Oreochromis niloticus: one gene and its partners. The protein of the gene in region 1 interacts with the protein of each later gene in a pairwise test. Links are inferred from orthologs where the notes say so. Each region holds a gene or a part of one and is shown in the gene's direction. Other genes may lie near its edges.

Region 1 (7,944 bases):
TCCTATTGATGAGATATTTGTCTACTCGACTTGAGAAGGAGGAGACGGTAAGGAAAGCCTTAACCTTAAAAAAAATATATTTTACTTGCGACTTTTTCCTCCGTGTTTACAATAAAACAGAACAATGACATTTAAAACACACACAATATTTAAGGAGAGGAAATGGGAGGGATGAAGAGGAGAGAGGTGAGAGAAAGGCAGCAAAAAACAGAGAAGAGACTTAGAAGAGCAGCCAACCGGGTTGGAAAGAGCAAAACAAAGGGAGTGCGGAGCAGACAGCAGAGAAACATGAGCAACAGGTGCAGGCTATGAAGAGGTCAGTGGTTATTCGTGTAATATTTGGCCCAATAAAGTTTCCGCTGGTCCAACAGTGATGTGCATTGGGCAACAGCAAGAAATGGCAAATTCTGCCTCATTGCCCACGAGTACATGAATCCTCTTAAAACAAAATAAATAATTAAATAAATGTATCCGAATGCCAGAGGTCCCTTCCATGAGATATACAAGAGCTAATCCACAACAAGGGTTAGACAGCAGCTGTCGAGAGGACCCTGAATCCGAGCAACATGATGTCACTGCGCTGCATCCCCCTTACAGTGTTTTTCACAGTTTCTTGGCAGTCATGTAAATAGCTCAACATAATCCTTCCCTCTGAGGGATTTCTGATCAAACAGGGCTCAGTGTACCCTCCTGTCATCACATAGACCCTATAGAATAATCCCTCATGTGATCCTGGGACTATGAGAGTGCAGGCAGTGGACCACACCCTCCCTAGGCTTACCCTGTGTGCTCCCAAAACTGGAGGCTCGAATAAATATTTCCATAACAAACTGACAGTGTTTGTAATCCTCACTAATGAAATGTGTGCCCCCCAGTACAAACCTTTCCTCTTGTGCAATGGATGCACCCCCCCCACCACCACCACCACACACACACACACACACGCACTTAGTGAGAGTGAGCTGATCGTTGGCTCATTACCACGTGTGACAGTAAAACCGATAACGAGTAAAGCCATACGGAAGAGCCAGGTGACGATCGTGTGTCATTACTATTGGATCTAATTAAGAGTGTCATCGTTAAACCCCCCACAGGCACCCAAGAAAGCAAAGAAGAGAGCGGAGGGAGCCAGCTCCAATGTGTTCTCCATGTTTGAACAGGCCCAGATCCAGGAGTTCAAAGAAGTCGGTACTCTGCCAAATGCTTTCTTTCACATTGAATTTGAGCGGTTTACTCACTGCGATGTCTGCTCGCTGTGTATACTCCTGCAGGCGTTCACTATCATGGACCAAAACAGAGATGGCTTCATTGACAAGAATGACCTGAGGGACACCTTTGCAGCTTTAGGTAAACTCACTGTGTGTCACGTTTCTGTTGTGATGGTTTCACATGATTACATTACACAAGTCCAGCAAAAAACAAACCTTAGGAATTCTCAGGTTCCAGCTTCTCACATGCACGAATTTCATTGTCTCAGCTAGTAGAACTCACCTTGAGTTCTGGGATGTATAATTACCATTTTTAAAATAATGTCTGAAGAAACAGATAACTGACAAACTGAGCTGTAGCAGTCATCAGATTAATCATTAGCGGACTTTTTTCCCCCAACCTAAGACTTATTAATATTATACATAAACAAGCAAACCTATTAAAAAGAATACAAAACAGACTAAACAAGAAAAGCACAGCAAACAAACATGATCCAATTTACATTAAAAGGATATTTTTATCTTTTTAAATAACACATGGTTCACAACAAACAGATACTGACTGACTCCTGGTCAGATCCAGATCTTCCACATATTTCAAAAAGAGTTTCAAAACCTTTCCCGGTGTTTTTATTTTAATACATATGTTTTCCTTCCTAGGGTTTACTGCCAACATATTTACTGCATACCCGGAAATATCTCCAACTGTTTCTACTAAATGTATTAAACCTGCAACTGAGTCATTTTGCAATAAACAACATTATGTCCTCTGGATATAATGATAGCTATTGCCTGAGCTAGTTATTCCGAACATTTGTGGTGTGATCTATTCCATTTTCCATTTCTACGCCAATACATTGATTAGATAGTCATTCAAAGAGTTTTATCAAAAGCCACACCTCATTTTTCTTTATTATTGTTCATTTAGTTTTTATTTTGTATAAGAAGAACCTTAACTTACTGCAACAAATCTGTTCTAGTCTTTATCGACCTGGGATTCAATTTTGTTTAATTTTTTTGGAAAATTTTGTGTATTATATTGAATACTGTCCATCAAGCTTGCTGACTTCATGTTCTACATTTGTTTAAATGTTCCAGCGGTTTTAGATTATATTTAAAGGACCAAGCGTAGAATGTGCCTTGAAAAAATCTCTATAGATTTCTTTTTTTTTAATACAAAGCTGGAAAACTGTTGTTATTCCAAATTTCCAGCAATTGCATCCTCTTCTAATTCCTTCTTTGGTCATTTTGGGCTGGATGGTATAGTCAACCCATCTAATAGTTCCATTGAGCTTTTGTGGATTTGTTTTAATCTCTTTATTGGACTATTTTCCATCAATAAAATATCAGTTTAAAAAATGAGCATTAATTGCAACCCCCGTTTCACCATATATTCCATGTTTTTCAGGCCGTTTAAATGTCAAACAAGAAGAGATTGATGACATGCTGAAGGAGGCACCAGGGCCCATTAATTTCACTGTCTTTCTCACCATGTTTGGAGAGAAACTAAAAGGTAAACGAGTTGCCGTTATATGACGTTGAAAAAAAGTGAAATTGTTTTTCTTCAATGCAGAACTGCCACTTTTCATCTATAGGTGCTGACCCAGAGGAGACTATCCTTAATGCTTTTAAAGTCTTTGACCCTGAGGGAAAAGGAACACTAAAGAAAGAGTTGTGAGTAATAGTCTGGTTCTTAAGCGACTCGTGATATTTGCATCTCGTTTGCTGATCATCACTGCTCGTCTTCACAGTGTGACAGAGATGCTGACGACCCAGGCTGACAGATTCTCTGCTGAAGAGGTTAGTGCTCCACCTCCGACGATGTAACAGATTGTGGAGCCTTGAGTTTTTATAAATGCAGATACGCTCTGTAACCATTCTTTTTACTTCGTACCCAAAGATGGAGCAGATGTTTCAGGCGTTCCCTCCAGATGTGGCAGGGAACCTGGACTACAAGAACCTCGTCTATGTCATCACACACGGTGAAGAGAAAGACCAGGAATAATCACGTCCTCCCTCACCGGGTCGTACTTGTGCTGAGATATGATCACATATGACAGCAAAAATGTAACTAACTTCAGCTTCAGTTTTTGAATGTGCACATGGATCAATGTGTTCATTATTCATTCATTCATGATTATAACATGTATATGTATGTATATTATTTGAATATAAATTAGTAATCTCTTCAAAGGTGAAATTAAAAGTGTATTTGACGTCAGATGTTTTTGACAAATCAATAAAGAAAGATTCAACCTCAGAGAGATGCATTGGAGAAGCTGAATCTCAGTGTATTTCATCTTCCATAAGTATTGATATTTAATTATCTGTATATAGTCATTTTATTTCAGTGCTCACAGTTGATCAGTAGAAGAACACTGGAACCCAGAAGCTCCAAGACCCATTTGTTCAATTTTGCCTTAAAGAGTACTTTAAGTGTATAAATATAAGGGAAAGGATTGCTAGGTAGACAGTGTGTCCTTTAAAAGGCTCTGTTTAAAGGTTTATTTTCCAAAGGGAGTAATTTCTACTCATTAAACAACAACTGCACCCAGGTTTTCACTAACCTCAGCTAATCTGAAAGATGCAGTGTCTATTTAGAGACTATACTTGTACTTTATCAATCACAGCTAAAACTTTTAAATAAATATATGTTAAAGTTAAACTCTAAACAGTCTGCATCCACTTTTCCATGGAAGAATAGGTGGCTACTCCACCATAGCTCACTTTCTGTTAATGGTGAAGCTAATCTGTAATTACACTTACTGTATACCCTTTATCTTTATTTTACATGTAAATCAATTTCTTGATTGTCTAGAAATTGGTGCGTCTCTAAGGTTTTTATTGGTTAACTGATTTTCAAATTGAAGCAAAAGTGTTCATCATACTGAATTCTTTCCTCTTCAGATAACACAGAACAGGAACCTGTAAAATTAATATCCGGTATGGTGAAAAAACCTAATTTCATTATACTTTGCTAGGAAAATGGAAAATAAGTGGAGCAATTTATTGAAACAAGATCAAGCATACATGGAAATAGACTATATAAGCCAAAAGTTTAGAAATTTCTAATGAACTTCAAAGTCAATATTTGATATGAATACTTTTATTCTTCACAACAGGCTGAACGTTTTTAGGGACGTTTTCTTGCCATTTCTTTAAGCAGTCTTCAGGAATAGTTCTGCAGGCTTTTTGAAGGACAATCAAAGCTCTTCTTTGGATGTTGGCTGCCTGTTATTCTGTTTTCTGTTGAGATGATCCCACACTGCTTCGATAATGTTGAGGACTTGGCTGGTGACTGAGGAGGCCAAACCATAGTGTGTGTTTTTCCATCCAGATATACTTTTAGGCAGTGTGTTTGGTATCACTGTCATGTTGTCCAAACGACATGACGTTCAGGTACTGTGTCAGGTGGCTATAACAAAGTGGCTCAACGTACAGTTTAAAATTGGTTCTGCGCTAAGTCGTGTGTTATGTGTAGAAACAACACTGATTCATTTCTTGAGTTAGGTCCCTTTTGTGGGTTAAGTAGCTTACAAAACACGCAAATAAAAAAAAATATCCCTCTGAAAATGGTCAGGTACAAGGACTGGACTGAAAATGAGTGAAAAATCAACAAATATCCAAAGAAAAAAATTTAAAGGACTTCATAAAGTCTTAAGCTGTCCCCATCCAGCACAGTAGGGGGCAGTAGTGTAGCAGCTACCAGCACAAGCCGCTGGCTTTAGCAGTACAAGGTGCGGCAAAGGAAAAACAGAAACGGGACACCGTCGCTAGCAACCGCTTGTGTTGGTTGACGCTTATTTTTTTATAGTCCCCGTCCCTTTTTTTAACAAAACGAAACAATTGATGTTGGCATTTTTAAAATCGCGATCTTTAAGTAGCGTATTAGCCTGTCAAAAGTGTCGGCGAGCGGCTAAACAGTATCAGGGTCACGGCAACATCTTTTACCCTCAGCCGGAAAATAGACGAAGCTAACATTAGCAAGCTAATGCTAGGATAGCTAGCGGGCTAGCTTTCACAAGTGTGTCAACGCGAAGACCTAGATCTACTGGAGCGATTTTTTCGTAACACCAACGCTTGCAATGGCTGATGTTGACAAGCTCAACATAGATAGTATCATCCAGCGGCTTTTAGAAGGTAAGTAAATACTAAAATTTCCACGAAACACTTGTTTTATTATTTAAATGTTATGGTAAATGCTAATAGTAGATAGCTAGCTTTAGCTGGTGTTCATCTTGTGGCAATAATTAGTAACAATAATCAGAAATATTTGCAAGATAACTTATTATTTTAATTAATGTTGGCTACCAGGTTTATATAATGCGTCTCTTGAGTCAGAATATTGGTGTGTCTGAAGGGTGTGAAACGACATGTCACGTACACTGTGTTCTCATACACAAACACCGCGAATTCCGTCACGGCATATGGCTTCTACACTCACCGTTTGTCCCACTTGGCGTCCGGGCAGAGATACCGTGCCCGGGTTAGCTGGAATAGTGTTTAGGTGTTATTCTTACTGACTTTTATTGATTTTTGTCTTCTTGTTCCAGTCAGAGGAGCAAAACCTGGCAAGAATGTTCAGCTGCAGGAGAACGAGATTCGTGGATTATGCCTCAAGTCCAGGGAGATCTTCCTCAGTCAACCCATTCTCCTGGAGCTGGAGGCCCCCCTCAAGATTTGTGGTAAGAAAAGCTGTGCACTTACTTACCAGAAAAGATTGACTCAGCAATTGGCTGATAGTATGTACTGACGTATGATAAGTGGTTTATGACTCAAAAGAGCAATGTGTATAATTCAGCTTGGTATCTTTGCCTTGCAGGTGACATCCATGGGCAATACTATGACCTGCTGAGGCTGTTTGAGTATGGGGGCTTCCCTCCTGAGAGCAACTACCTGTTTCTGGGGGACTACGTGGACAGGGGGAAGCAGTCACTGGAGACCATCTGTCTTCTACTGGCCTACAAAATCAAATACCCAGAAAACTTCTTCCTGCTGAGGGGAAACCATGAGTGTGCTTCAATCAACAGAATATATGGTTTTTATGATGAGTGTGAGTATTGTTGAATGACTAGAAATGTCCAGCCTGGGGTCTCTTGTGTCCATTAAGGGTACCTGTCAGATTCTCTGTTGCGTTTTCTTTTGCCGGCTAAACTGTTTGAAGGAGGTTGTTGGTATGAGATAATGGGAAAAAATTAAATATAATTTCTTGTCTTACTGTGTTAGGTAAAAGAAGGTACAACATCAAACTCTGGAAGACCTTCACAGATTGTTTTAACTGCCTCCCGATTGCCGCCATTGTTGATGAGAAGATCTTTTGCTGCCATGGCGGTGGGTTATAATGCGCAGAATGAATGTTTTGGCACAAAACTCTACTATCTACTCTACAGTCTTTTGGTTGTATGCATGATGTCAGAAGTTGTGTACATTTGATATCAGCGTTTCTTATTTGTCCTTGAGAAACGCTGTCTTTGCAATTTGTTACCTGACATGAAGCTCACCCAGTTCCAATCGGTGCTGACCTCAGTATCAGTGTGTTTATTTGTACTTTTACTTTACTGTTCCATTTAGGACTGTCCCCTGACCTTCAGTCCATGGAGCAGATCAGACGCATCATGCGTCCCACTGACGTGCCTGACCAGGGCCTGCTGTGTGATTTACTCTGGTCTGATCCAGACAAGGATGTGTTGGGCTGGGGGGAGAACGACAGAGGTGTGTCATTTACCTTTGGCTCAGAGGTGGTAGCCAAGTTCCTGCACAAGCATGACCTGGACCTGATCTGTCGTGCCCATCAGGTACTCACCTCCGTCATCACAAACAGAAACGTCACTGTGGGAGGTGGGAGGTGGCCGTGTACTGGCCAGAGGCAAGAAACACTTGGTACAGGGAGATAATATACTAGCACACATGGTGCGTGTTGTGGACAGTGGGTTTTGACCTTTTTGGCTTGCGTTTGCATCAAAGTAAAATTATTTGTGTATTTCCAGAGGTTGTTACAAGTTCAACTAAAGCTTTACTTTAAAAAAATATCTAGAGACTTAAAGAATATGGAGAGAAATTGATGTTAGAATAGTCACGAATTACTTTAATGCTGCCATTTAATGCCAGTGCAAAGATAAGAGAGCTCAGCTTTCAGTGCAGTCTTGTGTAATTTTGTGGGAAAGACATTTGTCAGAATAGACAGTAGCTTGTAGTAGTAGAATAGAGTGTAGCTAATTAATGTAAATATAGAGTATGGTCAGTAAGTGGTTTCTTCTGACGGTAACAGAAAAGTCAGAAATAATGCACTATTATATTTATTAATCAGTAACACCAACGACTGTTAAGTCCACAGAAGACGCCTAATAAGGAAAAACACTGTTGAGGCATGTCAAGTCTGCAATTAAGACAAGTGATTGTGAACGTAAATACACAAGTTTTACTTGAAACTCCTGACCAGAGGCCAGGTTAGACTTTAATAGTGACCAGTAAACCTGGGCCACTAGTGTGCTAGATGATGTAGCTGCTGATAGAAGTATCAAGATGAATTGTGAAGTGTATAGTGTCTAATCAGATTTGTCTGTGTGCTGCAAAACTGATAGGCTGGTGTTTCCGCGGTACATAGTGCAGCTCTCTGCGCTTTGTCATGAGCCTCTCCTACCAGACAAGCGCAGACAGATGCAGCACACCCTTCATTTGCTCCACAAACATAAAATTGAATCAGTCTGCTCCGTTAGCCTTTGGCCAAAAGCTGTTA
Region 2 (7,091 bases), on another chromosome or scaffold:
CTCAAATGACAGTCATTTGTGAGTTTCAGCATGGGGTTATTTAACCCATGTTAGAAGACATCCTGTTGTTATGGAAAGATGTTAGGAAAGGTTGGATCATGTTATTGGCAAGCAAAGAAAACAACCAAGGATATTGCTTAAACTACTAAAAGTGGGTTAAAACCTATCCAACACTTTGTTAAAAACTGGAAGGATAGTGGTGAACCACCATCTTGGAGAAAGAAGTGTGGTTGGAATAAATCCTGAATGTTTGAAGATCAATGGGGGGGGGGGGACAGCAGTGGAATAGACAGCTATGTTTTAATACTGAAAGTAAAAGCATTTTCCCACAATGCAAAGAGAACTCAAGGAGTTCTAACTGAACAGCTGTGTAGCCTTAAAATAACTACTCAGTAGTAATGCTAATTAGTAGGGCTGCAAGTAAAGATTATTTTGGTAGTCGACTAATCTGCCAATTTCTTTGATTAGTCAATTAGCCAATGATTATAACTCTTATCTCCGCTAAACTAAACTAAACTAAACTAAAAATGGCTTCAGTCCATAAGTTCAAATAAAGCTTCGAATTAAATTAAAAAGTTTGTTTTCCAGTCCCAAAAAAACAGTTTCCAAAGTTTACAGATGATTCGATTCATGAATTCATGATTGCAGTGGACATGATCTGGAGTGAGGCTTGATCTTATTTTTGAGATGATGTTCTCAGCTGCAGCTGATAACCAGATGGTGTAGTACTCACTGCCAATTAACCTGTTTAACTGATTATAATTATTATATAGTTATTTGTTGATATAGTCCAACCCACAGATTAACTACCTAACGTTAGGTAGAAGAGGTTTATTATAATATTAATGTACGGAAAAAAATAGGAAGCAGTTTAGCTACTCCTGTTTAATGGTTTAGTATTGGATTAAACTCAATAGCTAACAAAACTGAAATGTTGTTTGCTTAGAAAGTATCATCCTAAGAAGTTTCTGACAACTAAGCTAACATAAACATTACTGTACAAACACTAACATAAACAACGTATCAACGTGACGCACTAACTTAACTCTCTAAAACTGTCAAAAGCCAGCTCCAGGGCGCCGGCGTTTTGAATGCTTGTGCACTGCAGTAGTGCTGTCTGCTTTGCACCATCTGGATTCAACTTTGTTTGTTTTCTGTGAAATGACTTCACATAAAAAAAAAAGTTTCCATTTTCTTCTATCCTCCTGTTTTGCTGTTTGCGCTACGTTCTTCTTTGTTAGTGTTGAGTGCAGCCTTGGAAGACAATATAAGTGATGGTGCCCCCATAGCTTCCTGTAGTCTATTGCAGTTACAAAAACACATGTACTTGGCATTAGTATATAACACGTGGAAAATTGAATTCCAGATCAGTTTACAAGGAAACATAAAGATGGGACTCTGGAGCAATAAAAAAAAAAGATCATGTGGTCTGCTGAGTACAGATTTACCCTGTTCCAGAGTGATGCGTGCCTTAGGGTAGGAACACATGTGGATGAAGTGATGCACTGATCAAGACTAGTACCTACATTACAAGCTTGTGGATTCAGGATTTAGGTCTAGATTCAGCAAGACTGTGTGTCCATAAAATGAGGTCAGCTGACTACCTGAATCTATTGAATGACCAGATTTTTTTTTAATCAGCGGGGTTTGTTTTTTCATCTCTCTGATAGTACAGCATATTCTGAGATGACAATGCCAGTATTCATTAGGCTCAAAATGTGAAAGAGTGGTTCAGGCAGCGTGACACATCATTTTCACACTCATCCACATCTTAACCCGAGTGAGAATCTTTGGGATATGCTGGGGAAGACTTCACACAGCAGTCCGACTCTCTCATCATCCATACAAGTTAAAAAAATGAATGCAACTCTGGACAAAACTAAATGTTGCATTACGTAACCCGATCAAAATGATACCACAGTGAATGTGTGTCGTTATAAAAGCTAAAAGTTGTCCAATTAATTTTTAGACTATGACTTTCCCCCCCCTTTTTTTGAGGGAGCCAGGCATTAAAAACAGCCAGTTGAAACAGTAGGCTAACGACTTATCAGTTGTAGCTTTTTGTTTGTCTTAAAAGATTTTCAAAGAAAGACAGAAATATGGTCAACTTACGGTCTCAAGAGCTTACACAAGCATAAACCTGCAAACGATATTGTTTTTTTCCCACCTGCATAATAATTTTCTCTCCTCTCCACAGATGATTCAGAATTTCCAAGATGAAGTTTGTTTTGTTTTGGACACGATGAAAGGTATGACTATGGCAGCAAAAAATTATAGTTTATCTCTATCTGTATTTACCGTTATAGTCTTGCTGCAAGTTTATCTTAGTGTCTTTCCCTGATATTTTTTATTTTTATTTTTATTTCTATTCCTTTCTTTTTCAGATGACACAAGTGACGGCTACCATATAATCTTAAAGTGAATCCTAGGCAGGAGAGTTGTCGAGTGCTTCTCTCTTGTTTAGTCCTGGTTCAGTCAGCCCCTCTAGAGCTTTGTACTTTTTGCTGTTCCTTTCTGGAGATGTGCCCCCCCCCAAAAAAACCCCCAAAACAAAAACCTTGTGAGGCAGCTAGGAGGAAGATGCGACTGAAGCAGTTGCCCCTCTTTTAACTTTACCTTATCGTCTGACTTTTGAGGGAGTGACTCTGGTTCCACAGTGAAGTGTCACCCTGCCGTTTGCTCACTTAAATGGTTGCATTTCCCTCTGTTGGTTACATCTCAAGGAGGTTAATGGCACTACAGCTGCTGTTGTTTGTTACCTGACCATCTGGTATTGCCAAGACTCTTTGCTTCGAGTTCAGCCGTTTGTTCTCTCTTTAAAAAAAACAAAACAAATGATGACATTAAAGATGACGGTACTTGACTTTCAGCCTGCAATTCAGTATGAGTCGTCCTCTTCATGCGAGGTTGCCTTACCGAATCCAAGCCAGTCTGCAAGAAACACAACCACTCAGTTGAATCATAGTACAGCAGGTATTAAAATTAACAACTGGACAATTAAGGGAAACTGTTAGAATCCAGCTGCCCTTCCAAATATCAGAGGTTCCTTTGAAAGCTAACAATGTCTGCCTGTTACTTCTGTGGAAAAAAAGGCTACTAAACACTGTTAGATTGTCATAGTTTGTTTAGAATGCTTACTGGCACATGTGATTGTTACTTAATCGTCTTAAAAGATGATAAGCACTGTCTGTGTTAGTGATCTCCGTGGTAACACCAGCAAATTGTCTCCATCTGCTTCCTGTATCTATGAGCTTGTTTAGCACACCAGAGTTTTATTGTTTGTTTTTTGGTCATTTCCATCATAATTTTGAAATGGATCATTGTTTTAAAATAATTTAAAATGATGAATCATGGGGTTTTTTTTTTTTACATTTTAAAAAAATCTTTTTTACATACTTACATCTGCTCTGCTTCCTTTTTTTGGATGTTACAAATGCTAATAAATAAGTTGTTGGGCAGTACAGAGCTGCATGTGAATAATATGGTTTACGTTGAGTATGTTGTAAATGGAATTGATGGCTCGATATCCATATTTGCCCCTCATCTCATCGGCATTATTAAAACTTAACCATGTACTGGCTGCTATTTGGTGTCTACATCTTTCTTTAAAATATATAAAATAATGTTTAACGTGTTCTAAATGTTCTGAAGCTTTCCTATAAAAGGAGACACGATATTTTATTGGCACTGTCTAGCACAGGCTCCACATCTGTCCCTTTGGTGTACAGATGTGGATGCCTAGTCACTGACATCCACATCTGTCCCTTTGGTGTACAGATGTGGATGCCTAGTCACTGACATTTGAGTAAACTTTAGTATGTCATATACTGTTAACCAAATTAAGCTTAAATGCAGGTTAATTTAGCGCACTGAGGTGTCGTGTTTTGCACATCTGCTTCTGCACAATATGAACAAAGAAACAGGAAAAAAAAACCCGAAATAGAAACTTCATCTCCCAGCATACCCCGGCGCAGGACATGGCCGTGATGTCACAATAAGTATATATACTGCTACAGGGAAGAATTTCTACCTCCATTGTTACATTGTAACAAACGGGGCCGGGGCGAAGCGGGGAGAAAGGCGTCTTCTCGCTAGAAAACCTGCAAGATTTTGACACCAAACGATAAAGAGCAGAGCGCACCGTTATTGCGAGAAGACGGCGAAGTAAGCCCAGACGACTGAACCCGCCCCGGCGAGAAGAAAAGGATAAACGAACACAGATGTCAGCGGATTTCTCCATTACACCCATTTAAAGGCTTACATCAGGAAGACAAGACACTGAGCGTCTTACATTATTCATGCTGCACCGAAAAATGTTGGAGAATAAAGCGCAGCTAACCCTATGACGCCCCTTCTTCCTATCGTCTGTCCTTTATATAGATAGGAATGCATCATTTAAATAAAACCCGCCGGTCTAGCACAGCTCCTGTTTTCTTCGTCATCTTTCAGTGTGCAGAACAATGAGCATGAAGCCTAAGTAGCCTGAAATAGCCAAATATAAGTGTTGCAAATTGACAATCACGCAAGCTTTCATCCAGATTACTTCGGCTCCACGGTTGCAGTCTGGATACTCGGTTCAGGGATCTCGGTTTTGGCATAAAAGAGCCTCTCATAGGGCGTTGAAAGATTGATGTGCAGCTCCTATTGGAAACAGAAACGACCTACGACTTGGTTGGAATAAGGGTCCCTGTTTCTGCCCCAGGTAAGTGGGTTTAGTGTTTCATTAACCGGGCGGTTTGCCATTGTGTCTGTGTGTGGTTCTCTTTCTCTCTGTGTGTGTATGTGTGTGAAATGGAAAGAGAGAGGGAGAGACAGAGAGAAAGAGAGCCTTGCCTTGTCAGACTGGCAATATCTAACCTCCCCCAACACAGTCAGTCGGTATGTCCACATTTAAACAAATAGCTCCTCTAAACTGCGTGTCCCTGACGGGTAATATACCGTGAAGTCACACCTGTCGGTAAACATCCTGTAACATGTCAAAGGCAAACTTAAGTCCTGAAAGAAAAGCCTTAAATTCTTAAACTGAAATAAACATTTAATGTCAGATGTGTTACTCTGGTTTTAAAAAAAGGGCACACATTTGGTGTTATAACCACAGCTGCATCTTTACAGGTTAGGCCCTGTCCCTTACAGCCTGTCAAGGTGGGCAATTTTGTTGAAATTAGGTCAAGGTATTAGTCTTTAATGCTCATAATTATTATTAGGACATAGATTAGATAATTTTGGACTTTCCCCCCTCAGAAGTAGTTCCAGGAAAGATCACTTAGGCTGCATTTGAGCAGCTTCGCAGTATCAGCACATCCCTTTTTCTCTTTTTAGCTGAAGGACAAATTTAATTGTGCAGTTATTACATAAATTATGCTATAAACGTACATGTCAGTCCTTTTAATTTTGAACGTTCTCCTTCATGGACTTAAAAACACTGAAAAACTACAGAATGGGAGTTGCTCCATTTTGGAATGACATTACAGCATGCTGCATAGTAAAATATGAATTACCTTGAGAAGTAGCTGGTTCACACTATAGGAGGTATGGTAGTAATATGGTAGATTTAAGGTAGATGGATATAGTGTCTCTATGGGATATAATCATCGGTGTTAATATTGATGTGTAATTATTTGAAATGTATCTGTGTGAATGCAGATGTCTGTGTAATGCACAGGACATAACACAGTGTAACATCAGACATGTATTTAGCTGCTTTCATTCACCTTGTTTGACCTCTCCTACAGATGGAAGTGATCAGCTCCCTCCTTCAAATTCACCCATATCGATCCCTCCCACTACACTCAGTTTATAGCAGATTTTTTTAGGGGTAAAAACAGATTGTGAAGCCACAGACATTATTTGCTTCAAGGCTGCTTGCATAAACTGTGCTTGCCTAGTTGCCATGGTTACATTTTCAGACTTGATAATTTCAAAGTCGGATTTCATGTGAGATGGGAGCCACACAGACGAAATGATGGAGCTGGAATACAGATGAAAGGAGGCAGGAGCGAACAGATGTCACCTTTTTGTTCTGTTTTTGTTGTCAAGCTGACCTTACAGAGGAACAGTTTGATAAAAAAATTAGCTCATTCTCTAAGTGATAACAGGAGCATTTTGTTTCTAAGGTAGTAAATCACAACGTGTCATGTCTTCACATCTTTTGAAACACATTTACTGATGCTGGGTATTTTTTTGTGCTCCTCTGTGCCCCCAGATACTTAAGTTTCCATGGAGGCAGGTTCGTCCCTCAGCCTCAAACGAAGATATGAAGAGGTGGACAACAGCTCTCCATTCTCTACACCTAAGGACTCTGACGATGACATCTCCAGCAGTGACAGTGCTGACAGCTGTGACAGCCTCAACCCTCCCTCCAGCACTGCATTTACCCGTAAGAATCTCATTAAAGGAAGTCAAAAGAAACTAAACAGTTAATCAACGCGAGTATTTAGTATTAGGTGTGTAAGACTGTATTGAAAATCTTTCTCCCTCTTTCCCTGCTTTAGCCACCTCTATCCTCAGGCAGCACAAGCCGTCACCAGGGGGGAAACGGGTACGTTTTGATTTGGTGACGGTGTATTACTTCCCCCGGCGGCAGGGCTTCACCAGCGTGCCCAGCCAAGGGGGCAGCTCCCTGGGTATGGCCCGCCACCACTCCTCCATCAGACACTACACACTGGGGGAGTTTGCACGCGAACAGGAAACCAGTCACCGGCACACTTTGCGACAGCACCTGCGCCAGGAGAAGCTGAATGCCCGCAAAATGAAGGTAGATTAGATGTATCAGTCGTACCCCAAGAGGGTCAAAATTCAAGGCACAGTAGTATCTTGCAGCTGTGGGCACGTTGCATGTCTCCACTTGCAGTAGTGACTCAGTACATGTACTTCCGCTCTGTCCTTCAAGACTTTACAAAACTTTCTGCTTTGTGACCCCGTACAAAAACAGTCTAGCTGGGGCCCCTTTCCATAGTTCCCATGCCCGTGAGTTGCTAGGTGTCCTGCTGAAGAGTAATTACCCCCATTAAACTCCTGAAACAATTTTACTTCAATAACTGTTTGAGGCCGGAGAGGTAAAAGTCACTGATGTTTCAAACAAATTCACACAG
Region 3 (7,984 bases), on another chromosome or scaffold:
CGGGCTGCTGATGGTGTGGGTGAGAGTTTTGATTGGCTGGTACCAGCACATCAAACACACTCTTATTTGGAGGCACAGATTGCAACATGTTGTCCAGGTCCATGAGTAAAGGAGGGGCTCTCACTGAAACTTGTCTACTGGGGAGGATGGGCCAGTATGTATGGCCCAAGAAGTGACTTGGTGTCATGGGAGAGCTACCATAGCCGTAAATGGGTAGCCCGCTGTGCAGGGGCATCAGAGGACCCCCGTTGAAACGCATGCTAGGTGGGGCAACGACATTCGGGGGTGCATATTTAGCGTAGGAGGTAGGGAGCTCCCATGGAGGTGGTACAGATTCCCGTCTGGCTGATTTCTGCAGTGGTGGCCTGCAAATATCTGCCCCTGCTTCCACATCAGGAGGAACACGCTTCCCAGTTACTCCTTTCCACTCTTCATCAGATGAAGACGAGGAAGAGGAGGAGGTGGAGGCTGGGCTCGCAGAGCTTGCAGAGGCACTGCGAGCAGAGGAGGTGTAACGATGTTGCGGAGCCGGTGAAGGCCGAGCCCGAGCCACCTCACCCCAGCAGTCCCCAGAAGCCATATCTAAATCCCCTGAAGCACTGATTGGCCTCAGGCTGTGTAGCAGGGAGTCGATGGCAAAGGACGAATCCAGCTTAGGTCTGTACAAGTCGTCCTGCATTGGGAAAGAGTTTCCAGAAGATTTGGGAGGGAGCGAGGTCACAGGTTCAGGAGGTGCCTCAGACTCAGGGTTGTGTCCCTGCATGATGTAAGGAGCCAGATCCTGAGCAAAGATGGTTTCATCCTGGCGGGACACGGCCGTGTTCTGCCTCTTGAGAAGCTCCAGAGGAATGCGGCTCAGCTCCACTGCCCAGAAATTGCCTTTGCCCTGTGGCTTACCTGGGTCTTTTAATACCTACAGGGTGGAGGAAGGATGGACAGTAATATTAGTGCTTGCCTGGACAACCTAGTCTGACAGGACTGACCTAGTTTCATTAATAATTATCACAACACAAGTGATTTAAAGTGGGTTCTAGGTTTTAATAGAAAGACTCCAATGGTGTATTCCTACACTACACGAGTGTAGGGAAAAACTACAAGAGTAGGGTTTTTTTTAGTTTTAGTTTTTTCTCTGTTTAATGATCATTACGTAACATTTTACCATACAAACCTTAAGAAAGCAGTCATATGAGGAAAGGTTGTGTCGCACAGAATCTCGCCAGCCTTTGTAGTTTCCTTTGAAAAATGGAAAGAGGGTGCTGATCTCCTTGAGGATCTAAAATTTAAACAAATATCAGCATTAAATTCTGAACCAACACAGACACACCAGCATCACAGATTTTCGTTATATAGTCACTATGTTAACTGCAATCCATGCTTGCGTAAAAACAGCTCGGTGAAACTACAAATTTCAATATAGGATTTGGATTTTTATACTTATTGAACTTATAATAGAATTTTAAACAAATTGAAAATACGTTTTCCATCTGGTACAAAAAGCGAATGGAGCCCCCATTTGAAGCCTAATATTGGAATGTACTGTATATCTTATCACTGTTTCTGATACAGATCTGCGTCTGGTTCCACTGCAGTCCACCCTTATCTCAGCAAACCAAGAAGGGAACGGGTAGAAGTCACTCAAGTGTCACGACGATGTGGCTGTTTAGTGTCACTTTAGGAACTGTAAACGATCTTCTCAGACAGATTGTAGAAATTTCGCATAAAACTCTAATGGAGTCTACTCTAAATACACGACACAGTGATGGATTTGCTTCTGCTGATGCAATAAGTGACGATCATAAGCGGCACCGTGCGTAAAACACCGCGCGCATCGTCTACACACAAATGCCAAACTCCGGCAGCATTTACACAGTTAACACATAAAAGCATTAGTTTTATCATTACCTCAGCTAACGTCAGCTTCTTCTCTGGAGACCTCTGGATGACCATAGCGATCATTGCAAGATAGGAATACGGAGGTTTTGGGTACCTCTGGTAGTTCTTTTTCTTCCCACTGCCGGCATTTCTTTTCTCCCGTTCACTTTTCCACATGTCCTGCGTTTCATCCTGCTTAAACTGTCCATCTTGATCATTCGGGTTGAAAGATCCAGGCGGTTCCTCTTTAGCCATGAATCCTGTGGCGCCGGTGAGGTGTCCGGGGCGCTCCGTTGGTTCCTCCGAGCGCGGCAGCTGCTGGGGAGGCATCGGATCCGAGAGGTAAGGCCAGTGTTGGGCTGGTGAGCTCCACGGCGCTACGCCGCTGGGAGGAAAACTCTGCTGCTCATTTCTGTGGAAGTCAAGTTGATGGTCGAGAAGTTCTCCTAGGTGGGATGAAGCGATCGGTGCCAAGAGACTCTGCCCCGGCCAATGCTTTGTCATGCTGATCAGTCAGGGGAGGAATATCGCTCTGCACGTAGAGGGGGAGGAGGTCAAAGAGTCGGTCCTTAACTTCTGGCAGACTGCTGGCTCCAGGCTGACTCTATTTGAAGAGCAAACAATTAACAGTTTCATGTAAATCCCGCTGCGTAATCGGGGGGGTGAATGATGCGTTATCTGAAAGCAGAATGACTGATCGGCCCTGGGGGCTGGGCTGGGTCTGTGTGCGAAGAAGGGAGAGAAAGAGAGGGCCAAACTGTAAACCACCCATACGATACCTTATCAACACGCCGACATGCAACGTAGTGATTCCGCAACTACTTTAGAAAACTCTGCTTACAAGATTCTTGCTTGGAGACTTTAAGTGTTTGGGGAACACATCTACATTAATACAAGTCTGGCTTTACACAATTACACATTTTAGGCTTACCGTACACTTTTTAAATTATTTGTCTATTTAATTTTAATATCACTAAAGCTTTTACTTGGGCTTAGACGTGAAAGGTAAAACTTGTGGGGGTAGGGTGGGTACAAGTAATTTCGATTTAACCTCGGATGCAATCAACAATTATAGATGAGCAATATACACAAGAGAGGGCTAATATACAAACACTAAAGATGCCCCTTTCAGTACTTCATTTATTTATTAATTATTAAATAAGCAATTTAGCCTTCACTGCCTACTGAATTCTTTTAGATATTTTTTTTAATTGTGAGAAACTAAAATCAAATTAGCCAAATTGTGTATTTGATTTGGCTCTTAATCCAGAGGAGAAACTATTCCCATGAAAGCTATTCCAAAAAAAAGAAGAAAAGCATAAACTACGCTGATCAGCTGATTAGTAGGTGCAGTATATTTGAAGTCATCATTGTTTTGTGTTGTTTGATAACGCGCTGCAGTCGACGGGGGTGTTTTTCCACAGTGGGGTCTCCCTGGGAGTGTTGAGCATGCCATTCAGCGCTGAAAAGACTATTTTCGGGTATGCGCCTCTTTTGTTCAACTTAACGTAGTGCTAATGTTGAAACTCTTGCTTCCCAGCAAGACAGTGAAAACAAGCTGGATTAGAAGGAACCCCATCGGGAAGCTGGAGACTTTTCCATCCCAAGAAAAAGAGAAGCTGCTTAGCATGTGAGGAAATACGGGGGGTTTCAACACCATTTGTGGGGTTTCTGGCGCTTACAAGCTGCTAAGTGTTGTAGTTGGGTCGAACATTCACACCTTAAACAGGGGCAATCACGTACACCCCCAGCTGCTGGAAAATGCCTCAACATCTCCCTCAAGCAGAAAATTTTTTTATTAACAAGTCAACCAAAGAATCAACTTTAGGATCCATCATGTGACAAAGCGTGAACTTTGGCACGGGATTGTAAAGAGTTTCGCACTAACGCGCAGATTAAAGTTGATTTGATCCAACAGTTGTGTCACCTGAAAGTTACAGAAACAGCAGAGCTGGAAACAACTCCGTTTTCCTGCAATTAAAATCCATTTACTTTCAACAGGCGCTACTGGGCGTTTTCACATTGACCCCCACTCACATCACACCACTCCACAAGTTAACCTTACATGTCCAGGCAACAAAGCTGATGGCGCTCTTTTAATCAGGTTGCTGTAAAAATTAAAATAAAAAAGGACGCTCTGATAGTTTTTGCTTTGTTTCAAATAAACAATTCGCCCGTGTGACAAACTTACCGCACAAATGTGTAATTTCTGCAGGAATACGCAAAAATATTTGAATGAGTTTGTTTGTTTTTCTAGGTCAGATGGCATTCCTAAACACGGTGAACATCAAATCTCCGTTGCACACCTGCTTCAAATTGGGTCAGTATTTTTCTTCCACTGTCGGTGATATTCTCTTTAGGTTTATCCCCCCCTAGCGGTTTCACTCAAAACCCACAGAAGTACTAACTTCATGGAAGAATTAAAATTAAGCAACATTAAATAAGATTCATAAATATGTGGAATTTAAATTCCTCATATCTCTTTCTATTTGAGAGATTCGGAGACAATTAAACAGGTATAAGAATGATTCACAGCCTAAGAGTCTCAAACAAAAAATCAGATTAAAAATGGAAAACCTCTGTAAGTTATACATAAAAAATGAATACATGGTATATGTCTGAAAGTTAAGAAACAGCTGAAAGTAATGGATACATTTTCAATCAGGGAATGGCAGATTAATTGTAATGCTACAAAGTAACAGATAATAATAATAACAAAAGTAAAAGAGATAACTAAATACTAGATACTTTTAGGAGGTACTGGAAAAACAGTACCGAACACATGCTGAAACCTGACACAAAAAAGGGTGGGAATCACTGGTGTATATGGGGAAACTCCTAAACTATCACTTACTATGTTTCCACCTGCATTTGCATAACATTCTCCAATGAAGGGCTCAGTGCCAGACGCACCGATTTGAATACAAACTGTCAATTTATCCCTTCCTGTTTGCTGGAATGCTAGTTAATAAGTCTGATCTGGATTAGAGAGCCACACATAAAGAGAATGGGATCCTACGTGAATAGGTCAGCATCAGGGACAAGGCTCTTCACGTGGGATGATTGAGTCCAGACAAATCCTTCCTAAGCTGTCATCCATCCCGATACTGGGATAGAGGAGGAAGAAAGGCATGCTCTTTAGAGAAAGTAAGGAAAAGTTTGATCTGAGATGTGTCAATTAAGACAAGAGTGACTTTTGCTTACTTAAGCAATAAAAAAAGCATACCATTGGTTAGTACTAGCATTTAGAAAAACCTGTATCAGGTGTTTCTGACCTTTTGTCTGTAGGCTGGTATCAGGCAGTGTTTATCTGTCATGCCACATGGATTTTGGCTCTGCTGAAGCATTCAAAACTAGAATAATGACAAACTAAAAGGCCTGAAAAGTAGTATTTTCATTTACCCTGAAGATTTCTTTGCTTTCCTGACACAGAAATGGATAATAAATATTTGTGTAAGCCAAATCCAATTGATTTTAAACATGGGCATCACTGGTTTCAGAATTACAAGTCACTCTGCTCTTTGTTTGCCATCATTTTTATGAAATTCGTTCTATGCATATTCAAAACACTTGAAGAAGCGCTACACTGAATCTTCTCCCGAGGACCAGAGATGGTAACAAAAGCTCCAACGCAGTTTCCTTGTTGTGACTCTGCAGGGTATCACCGCTGTGATGCATGGCTGGGTCACTGCGGGGGTCAGCAGGTCTTCAGTGTCTGTCTCGTTTTTAGGATTTAGTAACTGATTCGGATGCTCACAGGGACACCTTGTGTTTTTCATTGTCCAACAGTGTTTTTGGCTGAGTGCCTCAAAATTGATTTTTAATTATGGGAGTGGTAAAGACACACTTGTTCAGGCTTGTGTGTTGCAGCGATTATCATTTAGTTACAAAACACACCCTAACAGTTTACTGTGAAAAGACTGCAGTGAATTCACATTTCTAAGAACGCAGGTGCATAGGCAAACACATCCTTATACATGCAAACACACCCTTAATATCTGACTTAAAAATGAAGGATGGGTTGTTTTTACACTAAGGTAAGTTCAACCTGTTTATTTTTTAATGTTTTTTTTATTCCTTTTTAGTAGTCTTTTGGCATACCGTAACCTCAAGTTGCTCATTTGAATGTTCAAATCTGAACTTCTTGATTAAAAGTTGTTGTAATCGCCTGAAATATCTACTCACACACATGAAAGTATAATGACCACAGTTAAGACTCCAGTCCACTCCACTTTCTCTGGAACTGCTGTGCAATCTTTGATAATCGCACCATGTGTGTGTCTAAAATGAATTCTGCTGCATCTATAAATATATGAATGTTAATGTGATTTACTGTTTACATGCCAGCTTCATTAGGGTTGCGGAAAGGCTTAATAGATCCTTAGCACCAGCACAGATTTTTCCACAAAGTTGGCTAACTTCAGTTTCTGGCAAACATTCAACCAGAAACACATTAGTTTCAACATTTCAGCTTCAATCATTAAGCATTAAGAAACCAGTGCTGTCCAATCAACTAGACGAGTAAGATCTCTGTGACTTAACTTAATATCATGACTAATGCAGGTTGTAATTGCATCAGTGTCACAATCAATAGGCCATCTGCATTTTGTTCCAGTGATCAAGCAAAGATTTTGATGATTTTTGATGATTTGTTTCATTTTTAACTAATACTGCGTATTTACAAGTATCTATTAGTGTTTGTTAGTATTTATTGAATGTGTATCATAAGGGCTGGACTGGTAATTTGGCATACCGGGGTCAATATAATTGTTTTTTGTTTGTTTGTTTGTTTGTTTTTGGTCGATATGCTTATATAGGCAACAGGTCGTAGGCCCGCTGTGCACCGGACCTTCAAACACAGCAGCCCATTGGTACATTTTCATTATTGACACTGGATTGCCCAATCAAATATCTTAATTTCAAACTGTTCCCTCCCCTGCCAGCGTTCCCTGTGCGCCCGCGCACCTTGTATACGAGATTTTATTGTGAAAGACGTGGTTGATAAAGACAGCAAAACGAAAGGTGGAGCTGAAAAGCTGAGAGACAAAAAGAAAGAGAAACAAAAATGCAACAAAATGAGTCAAATTAACCGACATGTTAGTAGGTAGCTACATTGTCAACAGCAACAACTAGTAAAAAACCCTCGCGTCACAAACGACTGCTGTTGTTAGCACTAGTCTTGGAGAAGTGCAGGAGGAGAGACAAGTCCCAAAAAGAGAGTGGTAAGAATGATGGAGGGAAAAAATTAGAAGGGCAGAGATTCAAGTAAAATGAATGGCTACTTTGACCACAAGCCACCGCTAATAGCTAAAGTACAGCTTTTAAATATAACATGATGCACTACAGTATAACTCATTATTAGTCAGTACATAGTGTCGTGATTTCTTTTGTACCAGTCCAGGCCTGTCTAGCATGTATGCGGAATTTGTTAATGCCCCCCTGGGGATGAATAAAGTATCTATCAGTCTATCCCAATGACTGTGGTCTATCCACTTAAAATATCTTTATAGAGCCTTTATGTTTGTTGCAATTTCTGCTGCCCTCTTGGCCAGATCTCATTTTAAAAAAATACCATTTTTAATCTCAGAGAGACTTTTTTTGTACCTGGATAAATAAATAATGTATAAAATTCACTTTGTCAAAAGCTTGAATGCTGCTTACACATTGGAATGTTTTTGTGTTTTTGAGTCAGCAAGTCATTTATAACAGTTTAAATACGGGCATGTTTTTGGCAGATGATCACCTGTCTCCTGCCGCCCCGCAACCTGCAGACTTTGCCGCCCTCTGGTGGAGGCTGTCCGGCGGGAGGAGAGGGCGCAGGTCCGGTTGTTATGGTGAAGCATTTCCCCAGAGGGCTGGCTGAAGTTGGAGCTGCGGCGGACAGCAGCTGATTCAGTTTCACGGCTCGCACAGGACCTACCGCTGACAGGCAGCTCAACAGGTAAGATGTCGCCACTTTGTTTTTCTACTGTTTTACAATGAGTCTGCACGTCCTGCTCGGTTCAAACGATTGTGTATAAGTTGAACTTAGTTGTCGCTGAGACGTTGACGTTAATTATCTGAGGGCAGCGGCTCCGACTGCAGCGTCGGTGAACAGCGAGCTAATGCGAAG

The links. The genes of interacting proteins can lie anywhere in the genome.
Region 2: the proteins of serine/threonine-protein phosphatase PP1-gamma catalytic subunit (region 1) and csrnp2 interact in binary tests that used the Homo sapiens proteins (3 or more experiments, as listed by UniProt). The link is inferred for Oreochromis niloticus from reciprocal best matches to the Homo sapiens genes PPP1CC and CSRNP2.
Region 3: the proteins of serine/threonine-protein phosphatase PP1-gamma catalytic subunit (region 1) and ppp1r16a interact in binary tests that used the Homo sapiens proteins (3 or more experiments, as listed by UniProt). The link is inferred for Oreochromis niloticus from reciprocal best matches to the Homo sapiens genes PPP1CC and PPP1R16A.

What each region holds. Positions count from the first base shown.
Region 1 is NC_031977.2:6,410,725-6,418,668, forward strand, and holds the start of serine/threonine-protein phosphatase PP1-gamma catalytic subunit, read left to right. Parts: upstream 1-4,921; 5' UTR 4,922-5,293; coding exon 5,294-5,348; intron 5,349-5,761; coding exon 5,762-5,893; intron 5,894-6,030; coding exon 6,031-6,261; intron 6,262-6,434; coding exon 6,435-6,539; intron 6,540-6,779; coding exon 6,780-7,003; intron 7,004-7,944. Other genes in the region: myl2b (myosin, light chain 2b, regulatory, cardiac, slow), read left to right, coding at 1,095-1,184, 1,272-1,347, 2,617-2,721, 2,804-2,882, 2,960-3,008, 3,109-3,213. UniProt on the Homo sapiens protein: Protein phosphatase that associates with over 200 regulatory proteins to form highly specific holoenzymes which dephosphorylate hundreds of biological targets.
Region 2 is NC_031984.2:9,326,444-9,333,534, reverse strand, and holds the start of csrnp2 (cysteine/serine-rich nuclear protein 2), read left to right. Parts: upstream 1-4,018; 5' UTR 4,019-4,702; intron 4,703-4,733; exon of another isoform or gene 4,734-6,113; intron 6,114-6,202; 5' UTR 6,203-6,216; coding exon 6,217-6,376; intron 6,377-6,491; coding exon 6,492-6,754; intron 6,755-7,091. Other genes in the region: tfcp2 (transcription factor CP2), read left to right, coding at 2,198-2,249, 2,385-2,422. UniProt on the Homo sapiens protein: Binds to the consensus sequence 5'-AGAGTG-3' and has transcriptional activator activity. May play a role in apoptosis.
Region 3 is NC_031974.2:21,578,741-21,586,724, forward strand, and holds the start of ppp1r16a (protein phosphatase 1 regulatory subunit 16A), read left to right. Parts: upstream 1-4,911; 5' UTR 4,912-5,019; intron 5,020-6,907; exon of another isoform or gene 6,908-7,094; intron 7,095-7,607; 5' UTR 7,608-7,813; intron 7,814-7,984. Other genes in the region: foxh1 (forkhead box protein H1), read right to left, coding at 1-913, 1,169-1,273, 1,903-2,376. UniProt on the Homo sapiens protein: Inhibits protein phosphatase 1 activity toward phosphorylase, myosin light chain and myosin substrates.